Macaca fascicularis: one gene and its partners. The protein of the gene in region 3 binds, or shares a complex with, the protein of the main gene of each other region. Links are inferred from orthologs where the notes say so. Each region holds a gene or a part of one and is shown on either strand. Other genes may lie near its edges. The genes, in order: STK25, STK24 and STRIP2.

What was found.
Region 1: STRIP2 (region 3) and STK25 share a complex: the UniProt entries of both Homo sapiens proteins name them as parts of the core of STRIPAK complex. The link is inferred for Macaca fascicularis from reciprocal best matches to the Homo sapiens genes STRIP2 and STK25.
Region 2: STRIP2 (region 3) and STK24 share a complex: the UniProt entries of both Homo sapiens proteins name them as parts of the core of STRIPAK complex. The link is inferred for Macaca fascicularis from reciprocal best matches to the Homo sapiens genes STRIP2 and STK24.

Annotation. Positions count from the first base shown.
Region 1 is NC_088386.1:137,444,552-137,450,920, reverse strand, and holds the end of STK25 (serine/threonine-protein kinase 25), read left to right. Parts: intron 1-451; coding exon 452-609; intron 610-695; coding exon 696-881; intron 882-1,041; coding exon 1,042-1,232; intron 1,233-1,521; coding exon 1,522-1,636; intron 1,637-2,044; coding exon 2,045-2,116; intron 2,117-3,161; coding exon 3,162-3,298; intron 3,299-3,993; coding exon 3,994-4,033; 3' UTR 4,034-4,672; downstream 4,673-6,369. Other genes in the region: FARP2 (FERM, ARHGEF and pleckstrin domain-containing protein 2), read right to left, coding at 5,560-5,677, 6,252-6,369. UniProt on the Homo sapiens protein: Oxidant stress-activated serine/threonine kinase that may play a role in the response to environmental stress.
Region 2 is NC_088391.1:89,352,776-89,359,781, forward strand, and holds part of STK24 (serine/threonine-protein kinase 24), read right to left. Parts: intron 4,676-7,006; coding exon 4,530-4,675; intron 2,747-4,529; coding exon 2,623-2,746; intron 1,313-2,622; coding exon 1,244-1,312; intron 1-1,243. UniProt on the Homo sapiens protein: Serine/threonine-protein kinase that acts on both serine and threonine residues and promotes apoptosis in response to stress stimuli and caspase activation.
Region 3 is NC_088377.1:170,900,284-170,907,389, reverse strand, and holds the start of STRIP2 (striatin-interacting protein 2), read right to left. Parts: upstream 3,898-7,106; 5' UTR 3,863-3,897; coding exon 3,734-3,862; intron 1-3,733. UniProt on the Homo sapiens protein: Plays a role in the regulation of cell morphology and cytoskeletal organization. Required in the control of cell shape. Calmodulin-binding scaffolding protein which is the center of the striatin-interacting phosphatase and kinase (STRIPAK) complexes.

The DNA of each region.
Region 1 (6,369 bases), on a different chromosome or scaffold from region 3:
GTGTGGTCTGGCCCTGCTAAGTGCAGACATGAGGTTGGGCCAGCCTGTGGGGAGGGACTTGCCACCGGCACCGAGTCATCTCTCTCATGTAGGGGACAAGTCTGGTGGAGCAAGGGGCTTCCTGGCAGGCCCATGGTGGCCACACCCTTGGTCAGGGTCACCTCTGTGGTAGCCCCCAGTGGGCGAAGTCGCCTGTCGTTGGGATTTGTTGTAAAAGCCAAATGCAGGGAGAGCCCTGGAGCTCGGAGTGGAGACCTTAGGCTCCTTCTGGCAGTGCCCCTGTGGCCCTAGGTGGCCCTGGGTTTGAGAGTGGCAAGGAGGGCTGAAGTCCTGAGGACAGCCCTGCTGTGCCCTAGGAGGCCAGGTGGATGATACCCTGGCCCTTCTCAGGGGGCCCTGGGTGGAGCCACGTGGAGCCTGGCATGACGTCTGCCTGTCCTGTGTCAAGCAGCTGCCAACGTGCTACTCTCGGAGCAGGGGGATGTGAAGCTGGCGGACTTTGGGGTAGCAGGGCAGCTCACAGACACACAGATTAAGAGGAACACGTTCGTGGGCACCCCCTTCTGGATGGCGCCTGAAGTCATCAAGCAGTCGGCCTATGACTTCAAGGTGGGTGCAGTGGGTGGGCGGGCGGGTGCGGGCACCACGCCTGACTGGGGTGCTCAGGGCAGCGACAGTCCTTGTGTTCTGTCCAGGCCGACATCTGGTCCCTGGGGATCACGGCCATCGAGCTGGCCAAGGGGGAGCCTCCAAACTCTGACCTCCACCCCATGCGCGTCCTGTTCCTGATTCCCAAGAACAGCCCTCCCACACTGGAGGGCCAGCACAGCAAGCCGTTCAAGGAGTTCGTGGAGGCCTGCCTCAACAAGGACCCCCGATTCGTAAGGCCCGCCTCTGGCCTGGCCCCTTCTGGACGGGCATATGGAGGGAGGGCATTTGCTTGGGGTGGGCAGCACAGCCCGGAGGCCTAGGCCCCCCAGCCTTGTAGCCATGAGGACCTGCCCCAGTCCAGGCTGCCTCACATTTGCTTTCCTGAGGCAGAGCTTGGCTGGGCCCAGTGACCGATGTTCCCCTGACCCCGCACAGCGGCCCACAGCCAAGGAGCTCCTGAAGCACAAGTTCATCACACGCTACACCAAGAAGACCTCCTTCCTCACGGAGCTCATCGACCGCTATAAGCGCTGGAAGTCCGAGGGGCATGGCGAGGAGTCCAGCTCCGAGGACTCTGACATGTAGGGGCCTGGTTTATCCTCATGGTGACCCTCGGTGTTGTGACGTGGGTGGTCCCCACTCCAGAAGCAGGGGCGTGGGCTCTAGGGGTGAGAGTGACCAGATATAGTATTGGGCAGGGACCCCCTTAAGGCTGCAGGACAGGGCCTGCTGAGGCATCAGTTGGACTCCGTGGCCTGGCAGAGCGCCGCCCAGTACCTCGGGTTTCCCTTGGCCGTGAGGTGTGCCCTGAGGCCCTTGTGCCTCCTGGTCCTCCCCCCACTGACCCTGGCAACTCTTCATCCTCTTCAGTGATGGCGAGGCGGAGGACGGGGAGCAGGGCCCCATCTGGACGTTCCCCCCCACCATCCGGCCGAGTCCACACAGCAAGCTTCACAAGGGGACGGCCCTGCACAGCTCACAGAAGGTCTGTTCCCGGCCTGGCCTCTGCCTGCTGTGCACCCCTGGGGCTGGGTGCGGGACCCAGCTTTGTCCACCCAGTGTCTGGGGCTTGGACAAGGAGCTTGGGAAAGGCAGGGGTGGTCTGAAGCCCACTGTGGCACTGGGCCTGGTGTGGAGACCCCAAGCCCCAGCATGTGCTGGGAAGATGAGGGCCTGTTAGGAGCCAAATTTGTGAGGAGAGGGTGGGTGGGAGTTGCAAGTCCTGAGTCAGGCCATCTGGGTGGCTTGATGGTTTTGGGGCCAGCCCTGGGCATGTGCCGTGACAGGCTGCTCCCAGTCTCCATCCCTTCAAGGCTAGAGCCTGAAGGGATGGGAGTGCCCTGCCTGTCGCCTGCACTGCCCTGCTCACCCTGGGCCTCCACTTCCTTTGCAGCCCGCAGAGCCTGTCAAGAGGCAGCCAAGGTCCCAGTGCCTGTCCACGCTGGTCCGGCCTGTCTTCGGAGAGGTGAGAAGGGGGCTGGGGCTGGGGCTGGGGCTGGAGCCCCGCCAGGGACAAGGCTGGGACGCTGCTCCGCGGGGATGTCCCCTCACAGTGCCGTGGGGCAGTCTCAGCTTCTAGGTTTCCTGCAGCTGATTATGGGCTGGGTTTCCTGAGTAGAAGGAGCAGAATCTGCTGTGATGACCTTTTGTGCTCCCAGACCTGCCAAGGTCCTCTGGGTTCCCAGAGCGACTTTTGTTTTCTTCAAGTGCAAACACAGATGACCCTTCTATAGAGAAAGCAGAGAAGATGTAGTCGGGGTCCATCCAGGGCAGGTGCCTCCCTGGTTAGTCACATGACCTTGCATCAGCGTCACCTGCTAATGGGCAGTCGGCACCATTCTCAGAGATGTGATGCAGCCAGGAGCTCTGTGCCCAGGGCGTGGCCAGTGGGCTTGGGCCCAGGTGTGCTCTCCAGGAGCCCCTCCTGGAGCCTGGGGAGGATGTGGGTGAGAGGTGGTGACAGGAGAGCCTGCCTGAGGATGGCAGAGGGTGGAGCAGTCGAGGGACACTGGCCCCAGCCCATGTGGAGGCCCCAGTGAAGCAGCCACTCAGGCCCAGGTCCCGGGCAGCCTGCTGACCTAGCCACAGCCCCCGAGGGTGGGTGACACCCGGTGACAGAGGCTCGGAGCTGGTGTCTTGATGGAGGTCAGATCTGGGCCTGGTTGTGCTTTGGGAGTTTCTGGGCTTTGTGTTTTTGGGTCTGATCGGACCCATTCAGTGGCTTCCATGATCCTCAGCTGGGAGGAAGCCATCTGGTCCCCTCCTGAGAACCGAGGCCCGAGATTCCCTGGAGTGTAGAGGGAGGGTAGGGGCTGTGGGGAAGGACCACTAGAGTCCCCATTGGCAGGGCAGGCTTCCTTGGGCCACCTCACTTCCTGGCTTGCTGAAGGGCTCCCGGGTCCTAGACGAAGGCCTTGAAGGCCTCCAGCATGACTCTGGCCGAGCAAAGGAGCGGGCTCTCCGAGGGCCTGTCCTGGGGTCCAGGGTCAGGCGAGGTGGTCTCTCCATAGCTCAAAGAGAAGCACAAGCAGAGCGGCGGGAGCGTGGGTGCTCTGGAGGAGCTGGAGAACGCCTTCAGCCTGGCCGAGGAGTCCTGCCCCGGCATCTCAGACAAGCTGATGGTGCATCTGGTGGAGCGAGTGCAGAGGTGAGGGTGGCCGGGCCATAGGGTTGGGGAGAGCACCCCCGCCAAGCAGCAGCTGGACGTGGGGTGAGGTCCAGTGCTCACTCGTGGGTGTGGCTGCGCTTGGAACTACATGGGTTCGCTTCACTCCGGGAAGGGGCGGCATGGCATCCTCTTCCTTGTTCGGACCCAGCTCACAGCTCACAGGGCCATGGAGATTTTGGGGCTGGAGAGAGTGGGCAGGGCCTTTCCAGTCTAAGTGTCTGAGGAGCGTCTCAGGGTCCTGGCCTCAGTGGCCACACGACTGTCCTCAGCTGACCTCTGCCACCTAGTGGCTCCCAGGAGCTGCTCTAACACGCTGGCGGCAAAACGTCAGAGCTGCCCCTGTGCTGACCTGAGTCCTTCGCAAACAGGGCAGGACAGATACTGGGCCCTCCACCGCCCAGTGGATTTAGGGTCCAACCGCCATGCCGCCGGCAGATGCCCTAAGTCCTGGTCCACACCCAGGGACCCCTTCCTGGCACCCCTGGGCAGCAGCTCTGGAGGTGGGGTCTGGGCCAATCAGTGCTGCTCCTGAGACCCTGTGCATTGGGGACACTTCAGACCCACGTGGTGCGGTGGCTTGTCAGGGCTGCCACCGCAGACTGCACACCCAAGAGGCCGTCAGGAGCCTGGGCACAGAGGTGCATGCACACAGAGGTGGGCTCTTCTCTCTGCAGGTTTTCACACAACAGAAACCACCTGACATCCACCCGCTGAAACGCGCTGCTGTTCAGATAGGGGACAGAAGGTCCTTTGTTTTTGTTCTGAGCTCCATAAGAACTGTGCTGACTTGGAAGGTGCCCCGTGCTGTTTCGTGCCTGCAGGGACACGTCAGATCCTGTGGGCCTCACATGCCAGGTCACCGTCTCCTTCCACCCCTGCAGTGTGCTGTTGTGCACGTCAGGGGATGCCGTTCCACATGTCCACTGCCCTCCTTCCTCTCCTGGCCCAGCAATAGAGCTCACGGGGGCTCCAGCAGCCAGCATGGTCCTCATGAGCTATGCCTGGGTCTTCTGCAGACTCACGCAGCCCTATGGCCGCTCAGACCAAGGCGCAGAGCAACTATCAGGGCAGCTCTGCCTCCTCCTCCCATGAGATGGGGAGAGGCAACAGGACAGCCCCCAGAGGAGTGCCCTGGCCGCTGTCCTCCCAGGGCCCATGATGGCCATAGATTTGCCTTGTGGTGTTGGATCAGGTACTGTGTCTGCTCATAAGTACTTGTGTCATCCAGAATGTTTTGTTTTTTAAGAAAATTGAATTTACTTGTTTCCTTAAATATTCTGAGGTTAATATGTTAGTTTTCATAGAACATTGAGAGGCCCCTGCCACTTTCAATAAAGACCTGACTTGGAGACATACAGGTGTGTGGGGGGGCGGGCCCGGACCATGCAGGGCTGCAGCATCTCTGGTCCTGAGTCCTCATCACGGCACGCAGAGACTGCAGCCCAGCCACCCTTCAAAACTTCCCTGTGACTGATTCCTGGGCTCTGCTTGGCCCCCTGGAAGGCGAACAGAGCAGGCAGAGGAGTATGCAGGTGGGGAGATGCTGTTTATTTTTAATCAAATGTGTGTGAACAAAGCAGTCACTCGTCTACTTCCCGTTGGAAGGAATGCTGGGCACTAATAAATTAGAGGACCCCACCCTCCCAGGGCACAGGGGGACTTTGGTTTCTGCTTCTCCAGAGGTACACGGGGAACAAGCATGGCTTCTGCTAGACTTGCTGAGCTGTGACCTGCAGGGCGGGCCCCTGGGGCTGCCACTTGGTTCACCAGATGGAAGGTCAGCATGGCTGTGCCACACTTGTCTGAGAGGGTCCTGGCAGTGGGTATGCAGGGTGTATGGCAGGGCCTCTTTTCCAGTGCTTGCTCTAGGCCAGTCCTCAGCAGGGACCCTGCTCTGGGGAGAGAGGCAGGGTGTGCCCAGGCTTTGGTCCGATGCCCAGAGCACTGCTCAAGCCCTGTGTCTATGAGCCAGGGGCCTGGGGGCCAAGGCGTGAGCAGCTCCGCGCTCGAGACCTGCACATTTTTCTCAGGGCCCCAGATAGCGGGCGGCATAGCACTGGGCCTTGGGTGGGGGGATGAAGCCCCTCCCAGATGTTACATGAGGCCCACCCACACTGTTGGTGCCAGTGGGGATCCACTGAGACTACAGCCACTTCCCATCTGATGAGAAGCCTCAGGACAGAGGCCACCTCTGTCCTGCTGTTCTTTGTAGTTGTGTCCAGACCTGGGCAGGTTGAGCGTCATTCCTCCTTTCCCCTGACCATCCCCTCCAGCCCTGAGGAGGGTTGGGGACCATCCTGCACGATGCTCGGGGCCCTCCCAGCCGAGCTGCTGGCTCCCTGGATCACCTCCATCCACCTGGAGGAGAGGGCGGCTGTCAGACCAGTAAAGCCAGCTTGTGCTCACACACCGTCCCAAGAACAACCCAGGTTATGGGACAAGCAGGACAAAAGAAGGGTTAAAAACCTGGGGACGGGTGCAGTGGCTCACACCTGTAATCCCAGCACTTTGGGAGGCAGATGGATCACTTGAGGTCAGGAGTTCGAGACCAGCCTGGCCAACATGGTGAAACCCTGTCTCTACTAAAAATACAAAAATTAGCCAGGCGGCATGGCACATGCCTGTAATCTCAGTTACTCAGGAGGCTGAGGCAGAAGAATCGCTTGACCCTGGAGGTGCAGGTTATAGTGAGCCAAGATTGTACCACGGCACTCCAGCCTGAGTGACAGAGGGAGACTCCATCTCAAAAAAAAAAAAAAGCATTGCTGTTTGTTTGGAAATGCTGGAAGCATTGCTCAGCCCTTCCTTTCCAGGGCCCAGAAAACTTGCCTCCAACACCATGAGTAGAAATGGGAGCTGAGGAGATACCAATGTTCCTTGGGGTCCCACTCAGACCTGGGCAGCTGACCAAGGCTGCCTCCTACAAAATTACCTTTCAAATGTGTACTTGCTCTCAGCCCGGAAGAAGTAGACATGGGATTTGAACTGGAGCTTGAAAACGTAGTCTTTGTGTATGCCATCGGCCTCCTGGGGGGTGCTCACGCTGTAGC
Region 2 (7,006 bases), on a different chromosome or scaffold from region 3:
CCTGACTGACCCGATTCCAGAGGCCAACGGCAGAGCCGCAGGAGCGCAGCCTGGAAATCCCACGGGGCCCACTCCCATGGGACAAAATGAAGAGCAAGCTGGCACTCAACCTGGACATCCTAGGTAGGAAGAACACAGGTGCCCAGAACCATGAGCCAGGGCTGAAGCCAGACATCCAGCAGGGCCTCCGCGTGCCCTGTGCCTTCCCCGACATCAGCGGGCTCGGCTGTTTTCCACTTGAAGCTGCAGGTGAGGCCTCGGGCCCCGGCCACAGCCCTGCTCGCACTGGGCCCTGAAACTTGCCAGGTCAGAGGCCCTCAGACAAACCCTCCAGGGCAGGGCAACAGGTGCAGGCTCACTGGAGGGCTGGGAAGAGGCACTGGCAGGCTGGGCACAGCCCACGGCCAGGGATTCCCCACTGCATGACGCATGCACAGGAGAGGGGAATGAGCTCCTACGATGCTTCCTCCTCCGAAGGCCTCCCCCTTCAAGGACCAGGGCCCCCAAACACAGCCGCAGTGGAAAGCTGCCCAAAGAGGGCGATCCCCATGCAAACAGATGTGTGTGTGGCCCACAGTGAATACCTCAAAGGCAACCTCAGCCAGGAAGGGGCACAACAAGAAAAGGGGGGACTTCCAACATATTTTCAAATCCGCTACTAACCAGAGGCAGAACAACCTTCATTCTTATAAAGCCTACTTTTGAAAATCTCTCAAACCACGGCCGGGAGCACTTTCCTCTGGGAGGGAGAGGCTGAGCAGAGGGTGGGCACGGCACGGGGAGGCCCAGCCGGGAGCGCAGCACTGCTGAGCGGAGGAGGGACTTTGGTGAAACATGTGGCTCAGGGGAGACCGGAGGACTCCAGGGCATCCAACGTCTTCCTTAGAACAAAGACTCTACTTTTCATATGGCCAGAAATAGGTCTGAGGCAAAGGAAGCAGGCTGCACCCAATGAGATTTGCTAAAAAGCAGTGCAACGGGTGACACAGGGTCTCAGGCTGGGTCACTGTCATCCAGTCTGCACACTCCAGGCTGTGGCGGAGTGGCCACCGTCCAGGACAGTGGGAGGTGCAAGGTGGTGCCTGACGCTGACAGCCTTTGGGGAGGCACCATGCAGGCTTTCTGAGCCTTTGCCAGTTTGTCTTAATGTCCCCAACTCTTACTGGCAACATCACCACTGAAGTGTGTCCAGCTTCTCCCTCCCTCTTCCCTCCCACTCCGAAAAGGTCAGCCAGGTACCTACCTCTGCAAAGAGAGGAGAAATAATTGTAGATAAACACTGAGAGAAAGGCCTCTTTGGGATGTCTTTCATCTTGGGGGAGAGGAAAAAAAGGTCATCAGAAACAGTTGACGTTCACATCGGCAATAATGCAACGAACCTCTCACTCCTACACTTCACGCCGAGGAAACGCCCTCTGCGCGCCATGACAGCTGAAGACTATCGGCTGCCTCTCGCTAGACTTCAAAGTCTCATCTGCAGTGACATGCAAAACCCACACGCCAGGGACACCGGCATCTGGGTTCCATGTGGAAGGGGACTTTGCGTGGGCGCAGGTGGTGAACTGCCTCGTCTCGCTATCTACGCAGAAGTGCTTTACTGGTTGGACGTGATGGCTCACACCTGTCATTCCAACACTTTGGGAAGCCGAGGCAGGAGGATCACTTGAGCCCAAGAGTTTGAGACCAGCCTGGGCAACATAGTGAGACCCTGTTTCTAAAAAAAAAAAAAGACAAAAATAAAAATAAAAAGTTTTACATAAACTGGGCATGGTGTCACATGCCTGCAATCCCAGTTACTCAGGAGGTTGAGGTGGGAGGATCGCTTGAGCCCAGGAGTTTGAGGCTGCAGTGGGCTCTGATGGCACCACTGCATTCTAGCCTGGGTGACAGAGACCCCGTTTCAAAAAAAAAAAAAAGAAAGAGAGAGAGAGAGAAAAGCACTTTACTAATGAAACCCTGAAAATAGAAATCAGGTCAAGATTGGCCATTCCAAGTGCTGTCTATGACAGAGGCCGAGTTTCTACTTTTGCAGCCTCTAATTGGACATTACCTGTTCACTTATCAAAGCAGGACTTGTAGGATCAACAGGGCACAGCTACTGGCCCACCCTGCCTGAGAGAAACTACACCACTATGTTTTACACAAGACCCTAAATATATGGCCTTTCATAAATTTAACAGGCATAAAACCAATTAATCAAAATTGTTTTACATAAATATCAAAAGCAATGCATTTATTTATAAGGTCCTTAAAACTCAATCACAAAATTATGATATGTATGTAAGTAACCCCAACATGCACAACAGTCCCCCAAAGAGAGCTATGAAGTCATTTCACGGGTCACCCCCAAACCCCATGACATTGCCACATGTCAGGACATCCTAACTTGACTGCAGGGCTGCAGAGAGCAGAATGGAGTGGCACAGAACAGACCAGAGGCCAGACTCCCCGGTGTGAACACCTGGATCACCAGACAGAACTAAAGCTCTCAATCCGTCCATCCCCTAGCAACAAAATTCTATGAGAGCTGCCACCCGCACCCACAGCAAGCTTCACACACACGTGCCTCCAAAACACCGCAGACTGAGGTCAGTGTGGCCATTCTGGAGGGAGCAGACGTACCTTATTTCTGTCCAAGTCCGATGGCTGAAGAGCTCCATTCTCCAGATTCTTGGGATCTTTTTCCCGGATTGTGAAGATCCAGTCCCCAGAATCGCTGCCCCCTGAGGCCTGGCCATCTGTTTCCCTTAACACAGACACGCAGGGAGATCCCATCAGCGCTCGCACGTCTGCTCTGGGGGCGCTGGGACGTTTGGGGGAGGCCGCCTGGGGACCTCCGAACCCACGCCCACCAGCGCCAAGTCCCCACCATAACACCCATGTCCAGTCCCTTGGGGATTTTCCAGAGATGCCCCGCCTCCTCCCTCACAGAGACGAGACCATCGCGAGGTGATTCCCGCACCTCCCTGGTGTGCCAGCGTGTGCGTGCCCACTCTCCTCCTCCTCCTGGAGGACACCTCCCCCGCCTCCCTGGGAGCCCATCTCTGGGCCATCAGCTTCTCTCTGCTGGGCTCCTCCTCTCACCAGGAAAGCAGATGTCTGTGTGTTGGGTGTGGTGGCTCATGCCTGTCATTCCAACACTTCGGCCTCACCTCGGCCGTCTCTCAGCCCCGGTTCCAGGATCCACACTCACTGCCTCTATTTGGTACCCTCCACTCGCTCCAAAGCCCGCCGGTGTCCCTCCGAGCACTCCCTCCCCCATCATGAGATGTGTGCTGACTCCCTGTCCTGCGTGGGCCTCAGAGGCAATGAGCCCTTGGCCCTGCTCATCATCCTGACGCCTGTGGCCCCACTGAGCCTGCACCTCCTCCCGCCCCTCGGCCACACCTCTCCCCTCTCATTCACAGGCGGAGCCTCACCCTCATGCCGGCTTCCCTAGGGGCCGGCCTCACTCCCCCACACGCCCCGACTGACACCCTTTGTTCTCTTGGCTCCAGTGACCTCCACAGAGCAGTGGCCCCTAAGCCCACTTAACCTGCCCAGCTTTCTCACCTGAATGCCACACCTCGGTGCCACTTCACACAGGACGTCTCCTCCTGGACAACTCAGACTCATACATGGTCCACCCCACACTCGGCTTCCTGCACCACACATCACAACGCCTGTGGCCACGCTGCCCAAGCCTGGAACGTGGGCTTCCCTCCTTCACCCAAATCCACCGCCACGTCCTGGCTCTCAAACCTCTCTCCAGTCCCTATCTTGTCATCCCTGTTGCTACCCCGGCAATCTCCCAATGGCAGTACCTCAAGAACTTCCGAGGGCAGTGGTCTCAAACTTGGCTTTAAACTGCCATCACCTAGAGACACTGAAAACCCACTTAGGGTGTCACCCCCGGAAATCCTCATTCATCTGGCCTGGCGCATGGACCTGCACTGTGGGCCAAGTTTGACTCCTGCCAAGGCATGCACGAGAACAGACGAGCCCAGGCTTGGACTTCCAGACACAAGCCTACCCGACCGCCTTCCCCAGCCCTCGCCACACAAATGGCTCCAGCCCCGCTTCGCCTCTTCAGCCAAGGGAATTCCTAGATGCCGAACTTGACAGCAGTTCTCAGAAAGTCACCGCTGGTACAGAAGCTTCTACCAGACACAACAGAGAATCACAAACACGTGCATTTCTGGCCTTTCAGACATCCATGAAAAGCAGTTTCACCTGATCATGATTTTAAGAACAGAAAGTGTAATGGAAAACAAAACAGAGCAGAACCGAACGAAACAAAACAGAATCAAACAGCCAGGCCCAGTTCCCTACGCACAGCTCTGCCACAGAGTTCACTCGTAGAACTTCCACCAGCAACATCCAGAGGCTCAGCTCCCCAACAGGCCCAGGATGTGGCTAACACAGCAACCGCCACCAGCCTGGATTGTCTAAAAAAAACTCAACAGAAAACGAAACCCACACCAAACAAGTGACAAAGACCAGTGGGTCCCTCCCACACACACGCTCGGGTCGCTCAGGGGCCAACTTACGCGTCTGAATCCTCGGAGCTCGAGTCGTCGTGGCTCTGCTCGGCCTTCCATCTCTTGTACCTGTCAATGAGCTCGGTCAGGTAGGAAGTTTTCTTTGCATTGCGTAGTATAAACTTGTGCTTCAGTAACTCCTTAGCAGTGGGTCTCTGGAAAAACACACACAACAACAAAATATGAGATGAAGCTCTTGATCCCACCCCAAAGGACAGACTTCTGCCTCAAAATGTCAACCCGCCACACTGACACCTGATGGCTGCGATTCTACTCCGCACCTCTTCTCACTGTGACTCACCCAAAGACGAGGCGCTCAGGACCTACGCCTGGGCTCCAGGTACCATGGTGGGCAGGGCAGTGACTTTCTAAGGAGGTCCCTAATAAATGCATTTCCACAGAAACCTCTGCACAGAGCTTCACAGGGATCATTTAAGAGACCTTATCTCCTAGCTTATGAAATACTTTATGGCAAATAGCTGACAGAATGTATGTTCTATGTCGCTTTAACTTTTTTTGAGATGGAGTTTTGCTCGTTGCCCAGGCTGGAGTGCAGTGGCGCGATCTCAGCTCACTACAACCTCACCTCCCCAGTTCAAGCGATTCTCCTACCTCAGTCTCCTGGGTAGCTAGGATTACAGGCCTGAGCCACTATACCCAGTTTTTTAACGTTTGGCCACATCCAACCATATAATAGAAATGTCAATTTGGAATTCTCTCAAAGAAACCGGAAAGGAGCCAGGAGATGCCCTTTCTCCTGTCTGCTGAAAGAGCAGCTGGGCGCTCTGCATCACCAACTTTCCCAGTTGAGAAGGGCTGTTTCCCAGGTCCCTCCCTTCCCTTGTGATTGGGCTGAAGACTTCACCCATGCCCTGGGCTCAGCACCTGGTCAGCTGCCTGCCTTGAGGATGGCGACAGTGACAGGGAATGTGCTTCCCAAGGAAACCAGCACAGCCCAAATTGGAATAGACACCAGGAACACCCAAATACCGAGTCGAACCGAGTTCCCACTCACTCCAAATTACAAAAGCTTGACTACAAAAGCCAAGCACGTTTTCAGATTCAAACTCATGAGAAACCTGGATCACCCTTGAGTATTCTCCCTCCCCGTCCACCCAAGGGTGAAACCCCAGCTACCCCGGAGGTGCTCGTAGTCTCGCCTCTCAGCCAGCTCCTCGGTAGCTGTGGGGTGGAGCTCTGTGTGCTGGAGCATAAGCCCATACTAGACACATGATTTGTAAAGGAAGACATGCCTGCACGTATCTCCACCAGTGCTGGTGCATGGTGGCTGCAACAAACATCATCTTGTAATAAAATGCAGAGCATCGTGGCGTGCAGGACAAGCCCCACTACCACAAGATGCTGATGTAGTCATCAAATGCTGGTGTGGTGGTCTCAGCCTGCATCTCCCCAGAGGTGCTTAGAAAATGTTGCATTCCTCATGTAATTCTTTTACCAAAATTGGCATATTAGGCAACCATGGTGCTCTTGTAAAAGTAACCACTCATTTTTTTTTTTTTTTTTTTTTTTTTTTTTTGAGACGGAGTCTCGCTTTGTCGCCCAGGCTGGAGTGCAGTGGCCGGATCTCAGCTCACTGCAAGCTCCGCCTCCCGGGTTTACGCCATTCTCCTGCCTCAGCCTCCCGAGTAGCTGGGACTACAGGCGCCCGCCACCTCGCCCGGCTAGTTTTTTGTATTTTTAGTAGAGACGGGGTTTCACCATATTAGCCAGGATGGTCTTGATCTCCTGACCTCGTGATCCGTTTTTACACAAGAGTTAAGAAAAGGGGGGCTCAGTTTGGCCTTCAGCTAACTCTGCTGGAAAACTCCGAAACAAAACAAGGACATATGGTGCTAACACCAACACACACACACACACACACACACATGTGCTAACACCAACACACACACACACACGTGCTAACACCAACACACACACACACGTGCTAACACCAACACACACACACACACACGTGCTAACACCAACACACACACACACACGTGCTAACACCAACACACACACACACACACACGTGCTAACACCAACACACACACACACACACACACACACACACACACACACACACACACACACACACACACACACACACACACCCCTTTCAAAGAAACGTCCTAATTCAGACAGAAAACGAGGCAAAGCCACACAGTCGTTACTGCTGTACGGCTCTGCCAGCGTCTATTAAACCTAAAAAGAGAAAGTAGGTAGGAAGGGGGAGGGGCAGGGGAAGCAGAGGGTGGCTTGGTTATATTTCCTAATCTTTTGTTTCCTAACACACTCCACCTGGAAAGTGAAAACATTTACTTTAAAGACATATTTAGCCATTTGTTTCCAGCTAACCTCTGCCATTACTAAAAACAGTGTAACAGTTTACGGCCTGATCCTCTATAAATATTAAACATTTATGATTCCACATTTAATATTAGGGAGAATATTCTTCAGATTCAATGAAGTATGAGATGGTGGAA
Region 3 (7,106 bases):
ACATCTAGTTGGTGTCAGGGAATTGTTGGAAAATTACCTGCTCAGTTTTCCCATCTGTAAAATGAAGATAATAACAGGACTTACTTCATAGGGTTATTTTAAGGACTCAATGAGTTAATACAAAAAGGCACACAGCCTAGCACTTGGTAGCACTATGTGGGTGGTCACTCTATTTATGATTTTAATATTATATTATAAAGGCATTCTTCTCATATTATTATGACTATTAGTTTAAATGATTGTATAAATGGATGTACATTTATTGGTTTACTTAACTAGTTACTGTTGAATATTTAAATTGTTTTTAATTTTCCTTTATTATATGCATGAAACTGTAATAGACTTATGCTTTTTTCTATATTTAGGATATTTCCTAAGCATAGATTTTTATAAAGAAAATTAATGAATCAAATCTTATGAACATTTTTAAAGCTCTTTGTATATAAGTTGTTCCCCCAAAACATTACGTCAATTTATACTGTCAACAAGGCGAATCATGTTTAAATCCACTATAGCAAAGATTTCCAAACTTTTGGATTACAGGGAACAGTAGGGAAAAAGAAAAAGGTGGAGAGTGGCAAATGACGGAGGGTTGTTGCTGTTTTATTCTGATAGGCACGGACTTTAAAAACTTTTTTAAAAAATTCAAAAAAGAACTGTTTAAACCCCCAAAATGAAGGACAGAATCTCAGAATAAAGAACAGCCATTAAAAACTTTTTCAAACTTTTTGGAAAAATGATACATTTTACATTATATCCCAGTGCGCGCGCGTGCGCGCGCGCGCGCGCACACACACACACACACACACACACACACACACACACACACACAAACTGGAACAAAAGTTTAACAAAGTATTTACCTTTACTGCATATGATGCACTATTTTATATTATTTTATTCCTTTTCTTTCCTTTTTTTTTTTTTTTAAAGACAGGGTCTTCCTCTCACCCAAGCTGGAGTGCAGTGGCACAATCACAGCTTGCTGTGGCCTCAACTTCCTGGGCTTAAGTGATTGTCCCACCTCAGCCTCCTGAGCAGCTGGGACAACAGGCGCGCACCATCATGCCCGGCTAAATTTTTTTTATTTTTTATTTTTTGTAGAGATCGGGTCTGCCTGCATTTCCCAGGTTGGTCTTGAATTCCTGAGCTGAAGCTATCCATCTGCCTCAGTCTCCCAAAGTGCTGGATAAAAGACATGAGCCATCACACTGGCTTTATTTTTTAAAATAAAAATTTTAGCCTCAATTAATAGTTGCCCCCTAAAACAGTTTGGAAAACACTGTTTTAAATTGTATACATCCTTAAATTTAATATATTGAACTAAATTTTTAGAAAAAGTCACTTCGATGACCTGAATTTTCCTCGTTTTACCACAGACCAGTTAAAACTTTGTCAAGGAGTTGGAGATCAATAAACCAGATCTGGCTAAAAGAGGTCTGAGATGAATCCTTTTGTTAGGTTAAGACTCTTCTTATTAAGCAAACAATTATTCTTTAGCTTCCTTTTTAGGTTGGGATGTTCGTTCACACACGAAGCCAGTGGGAGAAGGTAGGTCAACAGTGCTTCCATAAACAGTGATACATGATGAGGCTCTCTTAACTTGTGCCACAGTAATTCTCTTCTAGTGATTTTTTAAAAGCCCTGGAGAGGAAAAAAAAACCCATCTCCTCTAAGGACTGCCTTCCACGGGAAAGCAAAAAGAAGCAGAGAAGAAAAGCAGATCTGGCACCTGGGTACTGTGGTGATAAGGGATGTACTGGCAGGTAAAAGGAGTTCTGCTGCCGCAGAAGGTAAAGGAAAGCTAATCTTTCCAGCCAGGCTTTCGGCAGGCAATGAGCCCAGATAGAGATGATTGCAGCAGTTGTTCATTTCCAGGCATGAAGAGTGCAGCTGCAGACAATCAGCAGGTAAACTGCGGTGCAGGTGGAAAGCTTTCGAGTCTCAAAGGACTGTACTCTCAGAGCCTTTGCCTGAAGAAGCCTTGACAGGTGGGGAACAGATTGCAACCTTAGAAGGGAGACCCAGGCAGAGACTTTTATTCCCCCCATAGAACATACGATTGTGAAATTATTTTATTTATTTACTCACAATTTGTCTCCCCATGGGGGAAGACCCTATCTTGTTCACTGATATATCCCTAGCACCTAAAATAGTGACTGGCAGAAAGTCCTCCATAAATAATTATTGAATTAATGAATGGCTCACCTCCCCAAAAAAACATTTGAGCGAGAACAATGTCTTTGTGGGGGAAGGAGGTACAGGGTGCCCTAAAAGATCAGACTCATCTTGAGGTAGGGAGGGAGATGATGTGGTGGATATCATCTAGCAAGACAGGAGGGCTGAGCTCTTCCTCTGCAAGGTGGTGACTCTGGGCCAGTCTTTTCGTCTCCACTTCTACCTTTTAAAAAATGAATGGATTCCTCCTACTCTACCTACATCAAAATGGAAAGCATACATGAAATCACTTTGGAAACTGAAATGCTATTTAAATGGTAAGGCAAGGTCTGGAATGCCAAAGACCTGGCTTCTAGTACCAGCTCTGCCACTTGATGATGATGATGATGATGACGATAGTAATATACTCAGAGTTACTATGTACTGACTAATTACATGCATTGTGCCTGCACTGTGCCAAACATTTTATAGTCAATTATCTCATTTTGACTTTATCACAACCTTCTGAGGTAGGCAGTGTTAATCTCATTTTACAGATGAAGAAACTGGAGCTCAGAGAGGTTTGGTAATGTGCCGAAAATCACACAGGCAGTAAATGATAGGGCTGGGATTCAAAACCTGGTCCGACTACTCCAAAGCCTCGTGTTCTTGACCACAAAGTATGCCAGATGTCTGATCTTGGGCAAGTCACTCCTCTTTCTTTTAGGTCTGTAAAATTAAAGGGCTATACCAGATGATTTCTGCAGACCCTGCCACATCTGACATTTTGTCATCTATTCTGATTCCGGCTCCGCTCAGATCCAACTGATGGAAACTGCCTCAATGAGGGGATAGGGGAGTGATAATAATTCAATGCTTTCATCTTCCTAGGTAGCGTTTCTTTTTTCAGGAGAGGAGGAAGAGATCGAAATATTCATACTCCTATCTGTATCCTGGGACTGCTCCCTCCAGATAGCCACTCCTGGACTGCAGGGGCCTGATGTCCGCGGAAGGCGCTCCCTAAACGGCCTAAGACTTATGGGGGATGTGGGGGAAGGGGATGGGCAGGGAACGGGCAGAAGTCCCTCGGCCACAGTGGATCTGTCCAGGGGCCCGCCGCAGGCAGCCTGGGGTGGGGGAGTGCGGTTGCCCCACTCGCCAATCCTGCTTTCCTGCAGCTGAGCTCCAGCCTTCCATCCCTGAAGCCAGTCACTTCACCTCTCCGCTCCTGTTCCCCCCTCCATAAACTGGGATCGGAATTTCTGCTTCAAGGGGCTGCAGCGATTAAGTGAGATAAATATTTGGAAAGTACCTGGTCCGCTCAATACCGCGCTCATCTTCGCGCAGCGGGGGAAAGCCAGAGGGCTAGAAAGCCCCCAACCCGCGGCAGGAGACGTGCGGACAAGGGTCGGGGCCAAAAAGCCCAGAGTACAGCCGCTAGGACCCCGCAGGCGCCCACTGCGCGGGGCTGACCGAGCGCGCCGAGGGCTCCGGGGCCGAGGCCGAATCACCTCAGCCGCCGCTTCCCGCCCGCGAGCGTCTCCGGGCCCCAGCCGAAGCTCTCCGGGCTCCTCACCTCTGACTCCCGCCGCTGGCTTCGGAACGCTTCGCGGCCCTTGGGCGCCGCCTGCTTCCCTTTGCCGCCGCCGTTGCCATTGCCGTTTGCGGGAGGGCCCCCGGTCCCGGGCACGGCGGGGTCCTCCATGCTGCTGGTCAGCGGCTCCCCTCAGGGTTCAGCTCGCTTTGCCCGGGGCGACCCCACAGCCGCGCGCCGGGAGCCAGGACCCGCCCCCTCCGCCGCTATTGGTTACGGCCGCTGGCCGCAACCCCGCCCCGCGAGGCGATTGGCTGCTCGACCGGCCGGAGCGGGACACGAGGAGGTGGGGGCTCATTGAAGAGATTTTGGGGGTATCTTTTTAGTCCTGCTGCATTGCTGGCAGCCAGAGACTCCTAGGTTAGCTACAGACTCCACGACTTGCGAAAGCTGGGCCTTGAGCTCAGGAGGTTTATCTCTGTGCTCCTCACTCGGTGTCTCTCAGCACTCACCCCCGTCCCTGTAGCGACCTTTTCTGGAGCTCTAGTCTCCGCCTCCTGCTCCACTGCAGCCTCCGTTTCCCTGTTACCACCGACCCGGACCCCCACATCCCGGCTTCTGCACACGTCCCATATCCCGCTTAGTCGCAGAGGAGGGATGGCACCGCCATGTGGCCAGGGACATCGCCCGAAACGAGGGACTCGCTGTCTCCGGAAGCTGAGAATTCTCAGCGTTTTTCTGAAGAGAACGCATCTCGCCCGGAGCTAGGGCTTGGCTGGGAGACTGGGGGTCTAAGGGTGTGTTGGGGGCGTTTTTCCGTCACTGAAATTGGTGATGCCCTCGAGGGCTGCTCCTGTCATCTGCCCTTCTCTGCTGTAGGGGGCCTCTTCCTCATGGTGTGTAAATGTTGGCTGGAGAGCAAGCCACCACCCTCACCTCACCTGCTCGCCAGTCCTTTCTTTCCTTCCTCTCTCTTTTCTAACATGCTTCCTAAGGGCTCATTGTTACTGGGAGCAAAAGAAGCTGTTTGATCTGCCCTCTCCTGAATTTAAAAAAGCAGCTTGTAGTAAATATTTAGACAGTCTGACTTGGTAATAGAATCCCCAAAGACATAGGCCCAGGGGAACGGGTGGGACCAAATCGCTCTCCCTAGCCTGGTTGCTTTCGGAAGGGTCTGGGGGATTGTTGAACTGTGCTTGGTGCCAGGCACTGCAGTAGGCGCTTTCCAGATATCACATCATACCTCTCCCCGACAGGGTATTTTTACGAATCCAATGTTACTGATGAGGAAACCGGCACTTGCAGATTCCTCCCTGCAGTTCCCAAGGTATCATATTCTATCTCGTCTCAGGGTCTTGCCTATGCTGTTGTCTGGAGGAGACTGTCTTCTCTTTTCCTGGTTGATTCCTTTTCTCCCTTCCCTTAAAGATTCTAGTTAGTTATCACCTCCTCCTCCTCCACAAAGCTTTCCTTTTGGCCCTCAACTCATTCAGGCTGTGTTGGTGTCAAGCCAGTTCTGCCTAGATCCAAAATCCTAACATTTTCCACAATATACCCAAAGCAAGGGGCCTAGAGGAATTAATCCACCTTCCCATATCTTAGGGACAACTCTGTCCCTTTCTTACCATCTTTCTCTCTCTCACTTTTCCTTTTGCCAGTTCATAGGTGACAGAACAAGGCAAGTTTGAGAGCACTCTTTGGAGCTTTTTGGGTTTTCTCACCCTGGTCCTCAATATCTCCTTACTGTACCCACCCATCTTCCCTTTCTTCTTCCAGTCCCTCTCATCTCCCCATCCACATATAGGCTACTTGCGAGTAAGACCAAATTTAGCTCATTTTTGTATGCCCCTAATTTATGTACGTTTAACACAGGGTTTCACAGTCTCTCTACTATTGACAATTGGGGCTGAACACTTATTGTAGTGGGCTGTCCTGTGCATTGTAGGATGCTTAGCAGAATACCTGGCCTCTCTTCACTAGATGCCAGTAAGTAGTATCCTCCCACTAGTGCGACAATCAAAAATCTCTCCAGATACTGAAAAATGTCCCTGGTGGTGGGGGGGGGGGGCGGAAGGGGCATTTACAGAATTGAATTGATATGAATTTCCAAGAAAGTCCCTGGCTCAAGGCCTGAACTACTTGACTTTGGAGTTTTTTCAGGGTATAATTTGTTAAACTCTTAAAAAATTACACTCTGCTTTAAAATTCACAACCCACGCCTTGCTCATCACTGCTTCAGTGTGGTAAACTTGCCATAGCACAGCCCATTGGGGTTTCTTAATAAAAAGAATTCATTATTCTATCTCTTTTCTTCCCAGTACTTCTTCTCCTCCTAAGTAGTCAGAGCCCTAAGGTTAACAGGCCCAGAACTTCATATTCTTTTGTGAGCCTAGTCAATCAGCAGAATATCAACCGTGGTAGCAGACAGGAGCGGCCAGTTTTAACGCTTTATTCCTTTTCCTGCCTACTCCTAGTGGAAAGGGCAGACTGATCTTGGGAGTAGGATAGAGGACAGCTTGCAAGTCCCCTCTGGTGGCTTGGCTATCTAAAGCCACTTACTAAGCCTAGAGCTCCATCTGGCTTTAATTTCAGAGAAGGAATGTGTAAAACTGGTGCTATGAAGACTGCGTAGAGTCAACACGAGACCTCAATCCATGATCTTTTCCACATCTCAGTGGAATAGAAGACCTTTACTAAGATCAGACACCTATGTGCTCATTATAGGCCCAGACATTCAAAATTTCTAATAAGGAGGAAGATATCTGGAAACGACTGGAAGATGCAACAAGAAATCACAGAGTAACTGAAAACTTTGAAACTATAGGCCATGGAATTGGCACACATTCAATTTATTTTAGCTTATTTGTCAACAAAGGCATGTTAGCCATCAATACCATTCACCACAGAGGCACCCATACCTGGGAGCTAGTCGAGGCTGGTCAAGTCTTTCCACCTTGCGGAGATGACTCTAATGCTGTTATTTTTATATTTGACTTTATTAAAAAACCTACATTACCAATTTCCCTTGTCCCAAAACTCAAGGCTGCCAGCAGAGGGTTGGAGGTATAAATAGGTATAGTTACAATAATCACATATACCCTTTTCCCCATATAAGCACTCCACTTTAATCCACAGAGGTCAGATACTTTACTAAATGGATAGTAGCTGGCACTGAGAAAGCTTAATAAGATGCAGGAAGTTTTAAAGTACCTGCTTTTTGAGGCTACCAGGCAGTTATGATAATTTAGTAAAAAAAGGATAGAACACCCTCCTCTCTCCATAAAGGGCACCTGTGGGTGTAATGATGCAACAGAGGTTGTAGGGTTCTAGACTGAGACAAGGAATTATGTCTATGCAGTCAGCAGTGCACGCCAGGCTCTGTAAATAAGCAGCACTTTTTATACATCAGTTCATT